Linked DNA regions of Canis lupus familiaris. The protein of the gene in region 2 interacts with the protein of the main gene of each other region in a pairwise test. Links are inferred from orthologs where the notes say so. Each region holds a gene or a part of one and is shown on either strand. Other genes may lie near its edges. The genes, in order: TSPAN4, CREB3 and CGRRF1.

What was found.
Region 1: the proteins of CREB3 (region 2) and TSPAN4 interact in a two-hybrid assay, tested with the Homo sapiens proteins (2 studies listed by BioGRID and IntAct). The two-hybrid records come from large-scale screens. The link is inferred for Canis lupus familiaris from reciprocal best matches to the Homo sapiens genes CREB3 and TSPAN4.
Region 3: the proteins of CREB3 (region 2) and CGRRF1 interact in a two-hybrid assay, tested with the Homo sapiens proteins (2 studies listed by BioGRID and IntAct). The two-hybrid records come from large-scale screens. The link is inferred for Canis lupus familiaris from reciprocal best matches to the Homo sapiens genes CREB3 and CGRRF1.

The regions. Positions count from the first base shown.
Region 1 is NC_049239.1:45,634,134-45,637,876, reverse strand, and holds the start of TSPAN4 (tetraspanin-4), read right to left. Parts: upstream 2,638-3,743; 5' UTR 2,500-2,637; intron 1,499-2,499; exon of another isoform or gene 1,341-1,498; intron 1,240-1,340; exon of another isoform or gene 1,022-1,239; intron 955-1,021; exon of another isoform or gene 931-954; intron 1-930. Other genes in the region: POLR2L (DNA-directed RNA polymerases I, II, and III subunit RPABC5), read left to right, coding at 2,886-2,980. UniProt on the Homo sapiens protein: Structural component of specialized membrane microdomains known as tetraspanin-enriched microdomains (TERMs), which act as platforms for receptor clustering and signaling.
Region 2 is NC_049232.1:52,553,990-52,557,732, reverse strand, and holds the start of CREB3 (cyclic AMP-responsive element-binding protein 3), read right to left. Parts: upstream 2,490-3,743; 5' UTR 2,094-2,489; coding exon 2,001-2,093; intron 1,896-2,000; coding exon 1,748-1,895; intron 1,659-1,747; coding exon 1,591-1,658; intron 1,477-1,590; coding exon 1,387-1,476; intron 1-1,386. UniProt on the Homo sapiens protein: Endoplasmic reticulum (ER)-bound sequence-specific transcription factor that directly binds DNA and activates transcription. Plays a role in the unfolded protein response (UPR), promoting cell survival versus ER stress-induced apoptotic cell death.
Region 3 is NC_049229.1:30,721,725-30,725,467, reverse strand, and holds the start of CGRRF1 (cell growth regulator with RING finger domain protein 1), read right to left. Parts: upstream 2,467-3,743; 5' UTR 2,402-2,466; coding exon 2,298-2,401; intron 1-2,297. UniProt on the Homo sapiens protein: Able to inhibit growth in several cell lines.

The DNA.
Region 1 (3,743 bases), on a different chromosome or scaffold from region 2:
TGGTTGAGAGAAACCATCAGGACCCTGTCTCAGGTACCCAGTGTGTGCCCACCCACCTCCAGGCCAGTGTGGTTCCCCCAGAGCCCTACCACATGGGGCCCAGACCACAGGGCTGCCTGGCAGTGTTGTTCCCAAATGCCCTGAGCCCGGGCTCGTCCAAGGGGTCACTAGGTCAGGGCCACCACAGCCTCAAGCACGCTTGCAGACATCGTCACTCAAGACTCCTCAATCCCCAGGGCCCAGGGCTAGTGCAGGCTCAGCAGGCAAGGGACCCTGAGTGACCCAGAGGAGGCATACGAGCATGGCCGCATGGCCGTGCAGGGACCCTCCACCCTGTAGAGCGCTCCCCCCCCCTCCCCGTGAGTGCACATCTGCATCTGCCCAGAGCAAGAGGAGCAGGGGCCAGGCCTGCATTACCAGGACTGGGTCCCTCCAGCTGGGCAGCTATAGGTTCTACCCACACTCTACAGACGGAGAAATGATGCCAGGACTGGTGGGCAGGGTCGGCTGATTCCCTGTACACTGGGCCGGGCTCTTGGCTGGAGCGTCTCAGCAGCAGAAGCTTCCACTGCTGTCCTCCGCCCCTGCCTGCCCTGCAGTGACCCTTTTCTGGCAGGAAGCGTGGCTCACGGGTTCCCAACCACATGTGGCACAGCCCTCCCTCCCTCCCTATGCCCCCCCCACAAGATACCCTATGCTCCAAACGCTGGCAGTCTCCCTCCCCAGAGGCCTGGGCCACATCTGTGCTGACACTGCACCAGAGAGGAGAAGTGAGGGCCCCCCTTCCCCTGCAGGCCCCCGAGGCTCCCCTCCCCACCCCTCCTCCCCACCAGTGCCTGGGGCCCTAAGGGCTCCCTCCCGCCCAACCCAACTCCCCCCACAACACACACACAGAGGCCACCCAGGGCCGAGGCAGCTGGCAGGGCTGACCTCTGAGGCTCCCCAGTGTCCTGCAGGGTTGAGGAAGGCAGGATAGAGACAGAGAAGAGGACCCAAGGCCCCACAGGGTGTCCCGGCACACCTGTGCTGAGGGTGCAGCCGGGATGCTCCCCACCGTCTGTCCTTGGAAATCAGGGAGCTGGAGGGAGGAGCCCAGGAAGAGGCCACCACCACCCCCAAATCTACACACAGCTCACAGAATTCCAGGAATGTCAACTTGGCTCAGGCCTGGATCAAGGCGGGAGGCTCATTCCCCTCACTCTTTCAGAGTAAACAACTACTCCCAGCAGGAGCATGGGTGGGGCAGGCCCTGGGCCCCTCCTCCAGGAAGCCTTCCACCCCAGCGGCTCCCCAAGTTCCACCCAGCTGACAGCCTGGGTCCCCTCCGCTGTGTCCCTCACCTGCACAGTTGCCAATAGTCTCTGCAGGGGAGCCTGGGTCTGACCCCAGGCCACCGTGACTCCAGGCCCCCTCTCCTGTCCCTCTTGTCCAGGCACAGGATGTGCGTCCAGTGGGTGGGGTGGGGGGGCAGCTGGGAAGGGAAGTGGCCTCTCTCGTGGCTCTGCACGTGGCAGCGTGGAGGATGACAAATGCACTGGGCAGGCTGTCCAGGGCCCAGGCAGAGGTGGCCAGCGCCTCCCAGGCCCCAGGGGACCCTCAGGCTCCCTCCCTGAAGCTGAGGCCAGAATCCACCACCCACCGTGGGAGGGTGGGGAGTACAGGCCCCACTCATGCCCAGCCCACCTGACTAGCTGACACCCGCCCCCCCCCCCCCCCCCGCAGGCGCTGCTCTGGAACACATCCATCCCCACAGCCCCAAAGTCTGCCTCCTCCAGGGAGCCCTCCCTGCCTCCCCCCACACAGATCTGCACACACCCCCCCCCCGTGGCCCCCGGATCGAGGAGCTCACCTCACCCCGCCCCCAGGGACACAGCCTCATCGTCCCTTCCACCCTCTGTGGCTGCTGCCCCACCATCTCTGACTCCACCACCTACTCCAGCCCTGGCACGAACCCGCGGCCTAGAGCTGCCCGCAGGTATGGCCTCCAGGGCCCTATCCAAGGGGTCCCCCGGCCAGGATCAATGCGCTCCCCGACACACGCGGGCTCTGCAGGGCGCCTCTTCCACGCCGCCCTCCAGGACCACCCGCTCCAGCCTCCGCCCTGCTCTGAGTCCTCAGAGCCCCGACCGCCCGCACCCCCAGGCCCTTCCCCCAGGGCCGCAGAGGGCAGGCTGGGGCGCTGGGGGGGCAGGAGCTGCGGCCGAGCCGGCCGTCGGGGCTACAGTGCGGCCGAGCGGGCCGGGCCGGGGCGGGGACAGCCTTCGCCGCGCCGGGCCGGGAGGGGCCGCGGGAAGGTCCCTCCGGGGCCCCCCTGCCCCCGCCCCCCGCCGCGGGTCCCCGCGCCCCCGGCCCCGGCCCGGCCCCGCCACTTGTTGCTGCGGCTCGGCTCGGGGCTCCAACTCTGCGCCCGCTCGGCTCGGCCCCGGCTCGGGTCCGGGTCCCGGTCGGGGGTTCCGAGGGGCGGGACCTCGGCCGCATCCCCGCGGACCGGCTCTGTACCTGCGCGCGGTCCGCCCGCCGCGCAGCTGTCAGTCATGCGGACACGAGGAAGGCGAAGCGCCGCCGTCGGGCCCTTTCGGTCCCGCTAGGCCGCCGTAGGCCGGGACGTACCAAGGCGAAGGGCCGGGGGGGGGGCGACGCTTGCTCCGGTAGCGGCCGCGTGGGCCCCGGAGCCCCCGGTCCGCGCGGAAGGAGCTCGGCCCGGCAGGGAACGGACGGCGGCGGCAGTGGGGCCGGGGGGCGGGCCGGGGGCGGCCGGGGGCGTGGCGGGACTGGGACTTCTCCCCCCCGCGCCATGGACGCGCCCTCGGCGGGGCCTGCTCCCGGGCGGAAGCGCCGCCCCGTCTGCCAGTCCCCGCGCCGCCGCCGCCGCCGCCGCCAGCGCCATGATCATCCCGGTCCGCTGCTTCACCTGCGGCAAGATCGTCGGCAACAAGTGGGAAGCCTACCTGGGGCTGCTGCAGGCCGAGTACACCGAGGGGTGAGGCTCCGGGCCGGGCGGCGTGCGGAGCCGGGGCCGCGGGGGGCGGGGGGGGCCCTGCTGGGCGCGGGGCCGGCGGGTCGGGCCGGGGCGCGGGGGGCGGGGCGCGGGGCGCGGGGGGCCCCGGAGGGACCAGGTGCCGGCCGCGAGCAAGGGGGCAGGCGGGCAGCGGGACTGCGGGACCGCGGGGACTTGCACACGGACCCCGGCAGGTCGTGGCTCCTGCCCGGAGCAGTTCGGGGCTCCCTGCCCTCCCGCCCTCGGAGGCCCCCGCGCCCGCGAGCCCGCGGCTCTGGGGTCGTGGGCCGGGCTTCCTGGCCACGGAGCCCTGCGGAGCGGGCCGTCCCGGGGCCGCTCTCCCGTCGCTGCCCGTCAGCGCGGGCGTCAGCACCGGCCTCGCGGGCGTCTGCACCTTTAACCCCGGCCTGCGGCGTTTGGGGTGAGCGGGGAGGCCAGGTTGCTGGGGAGTCTGTCGGAAAGACCGAGTGTGAGGGAACCGGCCGGAGGCCCTGGAAGCCCCGGGCAGGAACCGCCCAGCCCTGCGGCTTCCCAGCTCGGCGGCGCTGCACGTCGGAGCAGTGCTCTGGGGATTTTCTGGAAGCCCTTGGGGCAACAGGGGCTGGGCCCCAGGGACACTGACAACTCTAATCGGCTTGGGAAACGGCAGAGAGACGGCTCCCTCCGCGGGGGCGGGGAGGGGGGGCTTGCTCCAGCAGGGTTCGGGTCCTCCGTGTGCCCAGGACTGCCTGCCCCAACCGGGTGT
Region 2 (3,743 bases):
CCTGGAGACCTGGGATTGAATCCCACATCGGGCTCCCGGTGCATGGAGCCTGATTCTTCCTCTGCCTCTGTCTTTGCCCCTCTCTCTCTCTCTCTCTCTGTGACTATCATAAATAAATAAAAATAAAAAAAAAAAGATTTAAAATAAATAAACCTTTAAAAAAAAATCTTTAAATTTTCCTTATCCTAAGCTAACCGACATCTGCCTCTATGATTTCTATCAATTGAACTTACCTGGTACCTATCTCTGAGACCATATAGAATGAAGGTTTTTTTTTTGTTTTTTTTTTTAAGATCTTATTACTTATTCATGAGAGACACACACACAGAGAGAGAGAGGCAGAGACACAGGCAGTGAGAGAAGCAGGCTCCACGCAGGGAGCCTGCTGTGGGTCTCGATCCCGGGTCTGCAGGATCACGCTCTGGGCTGAAGGCAGGTGCTAAACTGCTGAGCCACCCAGGGATCCCAGAATGAACAGTCTTTAATTTAAGCCATTTAACATTTCTTCAGAGTTAAAAGATCTGGGCAAAAATTTTAACTTCTCGGGATGCCTGGGTGGCTCAGCAGGTTAGTACCTCCCTTCAGCCCAGGGCACGATCCTGGAGTCCCAGGATCAAGTCCCATATCGGGCTCCCTGCATAGAGCCTGCTTCTCCCGCTGCCTGTGTCTCTGCCTCTCTCTGTGTGTCTCTCATGAATAAATAAGTAAAATCTTAAAAAAAAAAAAATTAACTTCTCACCTCTCTTCGGGATGGACTGCATCCTCTTAATATCTGTCAAAGATCTGGGTTCAAAACTAGACACTAAGATGTGCTCTGGCCAGTATAATGGAGAAGAAGATGGTCACTGCCCTTCTAGAGGCAACACCTCTACTGATACAGCCTTCAAACCCCACTCTCTGTCATCTCAAACTAACCCATCTTGTACTTTTAAGAAAATTCTCTCAACCTTCCTGTAGTGTTGGTTTCACAACAGTACCACAATACTGTGCTTGTGAAGCTGCTATTCATTGCCTGAAACTTAAAACTTGGGATTTTACAATTATTCTTGCTATATTACTTAGTCCAGCCTTGATGAACTCTAACCATTTAGCTACAGGTGGATTACCATGAGTTTGCTTGCACAGTCCCTTCCAAGACCCTACACTAATGTTGCATCGATGATTTTGAATTCTTCTCAAAGAAAACACCAAAACTTGTATGAGCCCCACAAAACCAGGATCTGCCTCTGCATCCACCATATTAACATCATGCTCCAGCTTCCTATTACCAACAAATTTGCCAAGTTTTCTAACCTCAGTCCTTCCTGACATAAAGTTAACAGAAGTGCACACTTGGGATCCACAACACATCCCTCCAGCCTTCACTCCCACCAATGGGAGTCTTACCTTAGTAAGAGGAAGCGTCCCATGCAGAGTAAGCCCCTCCTTCTCCAACAGCCTCTTCTCTTCATCTGTCAGTATCAGCCTAGCAATCTCCTGGGATTAGTTACCAGGAGGTGGGCAGCAGAGTTGCAAGGGGATGACAGAAAGGAATGGGGAATCCGCCCCCACCCGCGCAATGTGGGAATGATCCCGCCATAAATCAAGTACCTGCTCTGCGGGCTCCTCCACTTGCAGTGGGGTCGTCTGGGCCTCTTCTTTTCCATAGCTCCCACCATCTGCAAAACGAAAAGTATAAATAGCCAGACCCACGAAGCCTCTCCTCCCCTCAAACCTCACTTTCTTCCTCATCATATTTCAGACTCACCTAGATCTATGGAAACATGCTGTTGTGAGAGAGAGTAGGTGTGATCATGGTGCACGAGACAGGAATCAGAGGAGCTAAGGACGTTCAACGATGCTGGGGGACTCAGCATGGAACTCAGGAAATCCTCTGCCTCCCATTCACTCAACGCCTGCACAGGGTTCAAATAAACAAGCCTTGACCTATCAACTACCCACCACCCCATGAACGCTCTCCCGGGATCCCCGCGCCTCCCCGGCTCGCAGCCCCCACCCACCTCGGAAAGCGGCGGCCCGGCCCCCAAATCGCCGCTTTCCTCTAGCAGGAAATCCAGCAGGTCCTGGTCACCCAAGTCCAACGCCAGCTCCATACCGGATAACAACCGGAAAGATGTACAGAGAGACCTATCCGCAAGCCCGGACCTGTCGCTCTGAAATTGCACCAGCCCCCAAGACCCGATTCTCCGCAACTTCCAACACCACGGAAGTGACGCGCACACCCCCGAGGCACCACGGGATTTGGAGTTCCCTCCGACGCGGAAGTGGCCTAGCCGCGGCGCGCCACGTCCCGGGAGCTCTGCAAATAGAGGGGACGTCCCTGCGGCCTCCTCACACCCTGAGGGCGGGCAATCTGGGAGGCCGCCTCCGCCTCGGCCCCAGGCTGAAAAAAAAGGAAGGGTTAGAGACCAAAGGGGAACTCGCGCGCAGTTCGGGCGTCTTCCCGGATTGCGCCGCACCCTTGTTTCCTGCCGGGGGAGCCGGCCGGGGGGCGGGGGGGGGCGCCTTTTTAAGGCCGGCTCCCGAGCATCGAGAGCTGGGGCCAGAGCAGCTTCCTGTTGCCCCCACAACCATAGAGCGCGGGCCCAGGGCGCCGCCCGCGGGTGGGGGACGTTCCGGGGACGGAAGTGGCCGAGAGAGTGTCGAAGGGAGGGCGAGGCCGAAGCCCGATTACCACCGGGAGAGCGAGCGGGTTATCGGGCCGGCGGGCGGGGCACGAGCCGGGCAGCGCAGGTAGGCCGGACCGGGCCGAGCCGGAGCCTCAGGGTGGGGCCGCACGGCCAGGACCGGGAAGCGAGCGCGAGCGCGGGTGGCAGCGCGGGTGGCAGGGCGGGCGGGGCCCTTGCGTCCGCTGTTTCGGGTCCTGTTGGAGAGGTCAGCGTCCAGTGTATCTCGGCTTGGGATCGGAAGTTAAGTAGGTCGTTTTAAGGGAGCCAAGCCTTTCCTGGGATCAAGTCCTCTCTGTCTGGAATAAGTTTTGGGGAGGGTGAGGAGTTGGGTGACAGTGAGGCGCAGGGCGGGGATCGGCTTTGAGGTTAGCTGATAGTGAGTATGCGGGTAGGAAAGCTGGGGGTGAGTTTGGGAATTAGGTAGAGTTGGGTTTAGGAATTAAAGGTTAGCTTACGGAGTTAAAAACCGGAGTTGACATTTAGAGTTACCAGTGTGAGTCGGGTCCGTTTTATGTAGGTAGAGTTTGGATTAGGTCATTATTCTGTTTCTGGCCAACGTAAGTCAAAGTTAGGGTTCAGGGCCGGTTTAAGGGTCAACACAGGATTTAAATTAGAAGTCCAGTTTTTTAGGGATTAGAGAACATTAGCATGGAACTAGGGATAAATCGCGAAGGGATGGATCAGAAGTCAAGTGAGACAACAGTTTTAGGCTTAGAGATCAACATTTAGAGTTAAGGTCAGGAAATTCATTCCTAGAGGTAAAAAGTAGATCAATATTAGGGATCAAGGATTGGGGACGGGTGTCTGCCAGGAAAGGGATGAATGTCAAAGCCAGTGTTGGGAAACAGGAACCAAATTAGGGTCAGGGTTAATATTAGGGATTAGGGTTAGTTTTATGGGGGTTATGGCTGAGGTTAGGGTAGCTGACCTTGGATATATTGAATTTAAGAGATTGGCAGTAGGTAGGTGCTCTCGTTTTGCAGGGAGGTCTCATTCCTACGTAGTTTCAGGGGTTCTCTAGCCCAGAGATAGGATAAACTCATTTCAGGTTAGGGATCTGGGCTTCAACTAGAA
Region 3 (3,743 bases), on a different chromosome or scaffold from region 2:
GATTCTTTGCTATTGCTATTGGGATTCCAATATTCAGATGTTCCTATTCTTTCTCCACTCCCACACAGTGCAAGCAGACAAGGAGAACAGTAGAAAGAAGCAGTGGGAAAGAAAATCAGAGCAGTACTGAGATAATGGCGAAGACAAAACCAGTAGGGATTATATTTGGGGAGGTTAAAAGAAAAATGACATGGGTGAAAAGCACAGTGTGGATTCATGGGTTTACCATCTGTCTGGGGGCACTATTAGAAAATTGTTTATATGAGATCTAGATGGTTTGCTTTGTTTCTACTCAATGACTCTGTTGCCTTGGCTTAAGTTAACAAATAAACATTAGTAGAATGTCTTATCTACATGGACAAAGCTAACTCCGGTAAAGGGAATGGTTGGGTTAGGCTCAAGATAACTGGTTAGGCCCAAATCAGAATGAAACTGACTGGCACTTACATAGTCTTGGGGCCTCAGCAATGCTTAGCCCAGTCTTCCAAAAATTCTACAATTAACCTGGCCTTCCACCCTTCCAAAATCATATCTAAATGGAGTGGTTAGGTAATCATTAAGCTTTCAAAACAAGTCTTAAACTTGGCAGAGCCGGAATTTGAATCTAGGTCTGTATGACTCCACTGTCTCCAAAGTCTGTCTCTTAACCACTACAAACATGAGGTACCCGACTACCCTCATCCACAGATGCCGCCATCATTATCACTCTGGCCCTTACTCATTTTCCTCTTCCCAATACTACAGATAGATATCTAAGAAATCTAGTTAGTTGGCCTACAGAAAATTAAAATTTAAGGATATAATGCAATGATCAACTAGTTACCTATTTTCCTTAATGAAGGAAAATTTACATTCTTCTAAGAGAATAACACTAATATTATAGTGATTAAGAAACCCTGTGTTAAGACTGCTTTACTCACTTGGGCAACCAAGTTGCAAATTCCAACTGCAAACTTTCCTGAACAATAAACAGCAATAAAATTTGATGGATCAAGAATAACAAACTTCTCCCATCCATCCACAAACAAGGAATTTTCTGCTCTACAGCTGGCAGGGTGAGGAGCGGTATGGAAATATTAAAACTGGGCTTAGTTTCTAAAGATGGCATGTAGTTTCAGAAGTTAACAAAAGCTTGTTTCCTTTCTGCAAAGTAATTCCATACATGCGTCAAGGGATATTTTAAATTTGTTTTACTCCAGCTGATCTATTCACTGACACGCTTCCTCTGCCCCCCAGCTCATGCTGTATCCTTGAAATGCCTTCCATTCTCTACCAGACACACTCAACTTTATTTATTTCTCAAAATCCTTATCCTTCAATTTTCAGCTCAAGGGGCAGCCCTGGTGGCTCATTGGTTTAGCGCCTGCCTTGGCCCAGGGCCTGATCCTGGAGACCCGGGATCGAGTCCCACGTCGGGCTCCCTGCATGGAGCCTGCTTCTCCCTCTGCCCCGCCCCCCTCTGTGTGTGTGTGTGTCTCATGAATAAATAAATAAAGTCTTAAAAAAAAATTCCAGCTCATGTCTCTCTCCTCAGTGGATGAATTAGTAAGACGGTTTCAAATAGCCGCATTCATAAGGCTTCTCTAATCATGATACGATGGCATCTCCTCGAGAGAGAAATTTTAGAGTCTCTGAGCTAGAACTGCTCAGGGATTACCTAACAGTCCATTCTCCTGGTCTCCACTGGGTAAACTGCCCCTACCCGTCAATGTGATTTATCTCAAAGGTCTTTTCCAGCTCTGAAATTATGACTTTCACAGTTCCATCGACTAAATGTTACTTCTAAAGGCGTGGAATGCATCTAGAAACCATTCAATTCTCACACGGTAACGGAGTTCAGTTATAAGTTGCGCTGAAAGCTCTGAGGCCAAGCGCTCGGTTCTGCCCAGAACAGTCAACTGTGTTCACTGTCCAGGTCTGCGCGCTGCACCGCAGGTGACGGACTCAAGCCTGCTGGACAAGCACTCTACACCTCAACGCCCGGACCAGGCCCTCACCGGCCGCCTTCTCTTTGAGGAACAAAGCTGGGCGAAATACCTCATTCCGGCACCACCCCCAGATGCCCGCAGCGACGGGGACGGCCCAGGGATGCAGGGAGCAGCGATGCAGGTGCACACCGCAACTTGCTGTCCTCCGGGGGCCGGTCGAGGTTCGCGGCAGCGGCTCCCCCGCGGCCCCAGGAGCCCCAGCCCCGCAGCACCCGCGGCTCCGATGCCCTCCCCCTCGCGGTTCTCCGCGACCCCGCTGCCCCAGCGGTCCGCCCCTACGTCCCTTGTTTCTAACCACGCGGTACTTACCATCCCAATACCAGGCCGGTGGTCACGATGAAGCAGGTAAAGACCACCGCGATGTAGAAAAGCGGCGAATACTCATACAGCGTAACCAGAAACACCGCAGCCATCAGGCTCTCCTATACTGAGCCGAGCCCCAGCCGCTCAGCCCGGCCCGGCCCCGCCCCGCCCCGCCCACCCGGCGGGGGCGTGGGGGGTGGGGAAACCACTACGGCGCCTCGGAGCTGACAAACTTTGTACATACGCACTCGCCCCGGGTTCTCAGACTAGGCGTCCGGGCGACCTCGCCGGCTGCGGGAGCCGGACTGCCAATCACGACGGCGCCTGCAGGGCTGGCCCCGCCCCTCCGCTCTCGTCCCGAGCCATTGGCTGGGCAGAGGGGCGGTGCCCTGATTGGACTCACGGGATTGGTACCCAGAGAGCATCTGTCTGTCCGTGGGGTCAAGGCTTTTCTGCGGCAAATTCTAAATAACCCCTCGCGGCCTGCTTCGCCCCAGGCTCAGGTAAGGTTTTCTGATGACCCAGAGAGGAGGCACGGTCCGAAATCCACGTCACAGAGTCTAAATCCCGCATATTGGATCCGTGGCACATTTGGGACGAGGAGAAGAGAACCCGCCGGCGTCATGGGTTCTACAAAGTGAAGCAACCCCGCACCGGCTCTTGTTTTATCTAGAAAAGTTACAATTAGACACTACGAAAGACCAACCGGAGTCTCACAAGCAGTGTGTACGATTCTTGTCCGCCTTTTCAAGTTGGATTTCATGATAGAGGAAAATTAGCATAGATTCTCACAGACGTAAATCAACTGTCCTCCCACATCCTTTTCCTTTTCTGCTTCCCCTACGTTCCTCAAATTAGAATTAGATATTTGAACTTTTAAAAAAGATTTTATTTATTTATTTGACACACAGAGAGAGCACAAGCTGGGGGAGCAGCAGGCAGAGGGAGAGGGAGAAGGCGGCTTCCAGCAGAGCAGGGAGCCAGAAGGGTGGCTGGATCCCAGGACCTTGGGATCATGACCTAAGCCACCCAGGCGCATCAATATTTGAGCTTTTCTGTATTCATTTTTACTTTAAGGACAATTTTAGATATGTCTTATTATATATAAGGCTTAATTTATATGTATATTTAAATATATATCTTATTTATTTATATATATATATATATATATATATAAAAGGCTTCTGCTCAAAAGGTATATATGTACCTAGCAGAAGCCTTTAGGTAAAGAAAGGAGTGAAATGCTCATCCCCATTCAGCCTCCTCCATCCAGGTAGCCTCCCTGGAAGTCTCTCACACCTCCACTGACAGCCCGTCAGTTTGCATTTAGCCCTTAGGCCACATCCAGTTACCCCAGAGACAGGGAAATGTCTTTTTATTCTGAGCAGCAACACCCCCTGCTACAAATCAGGGTTTTGTTATCAAGGAAGAAAGGGACAGAAGGCTGCAGAA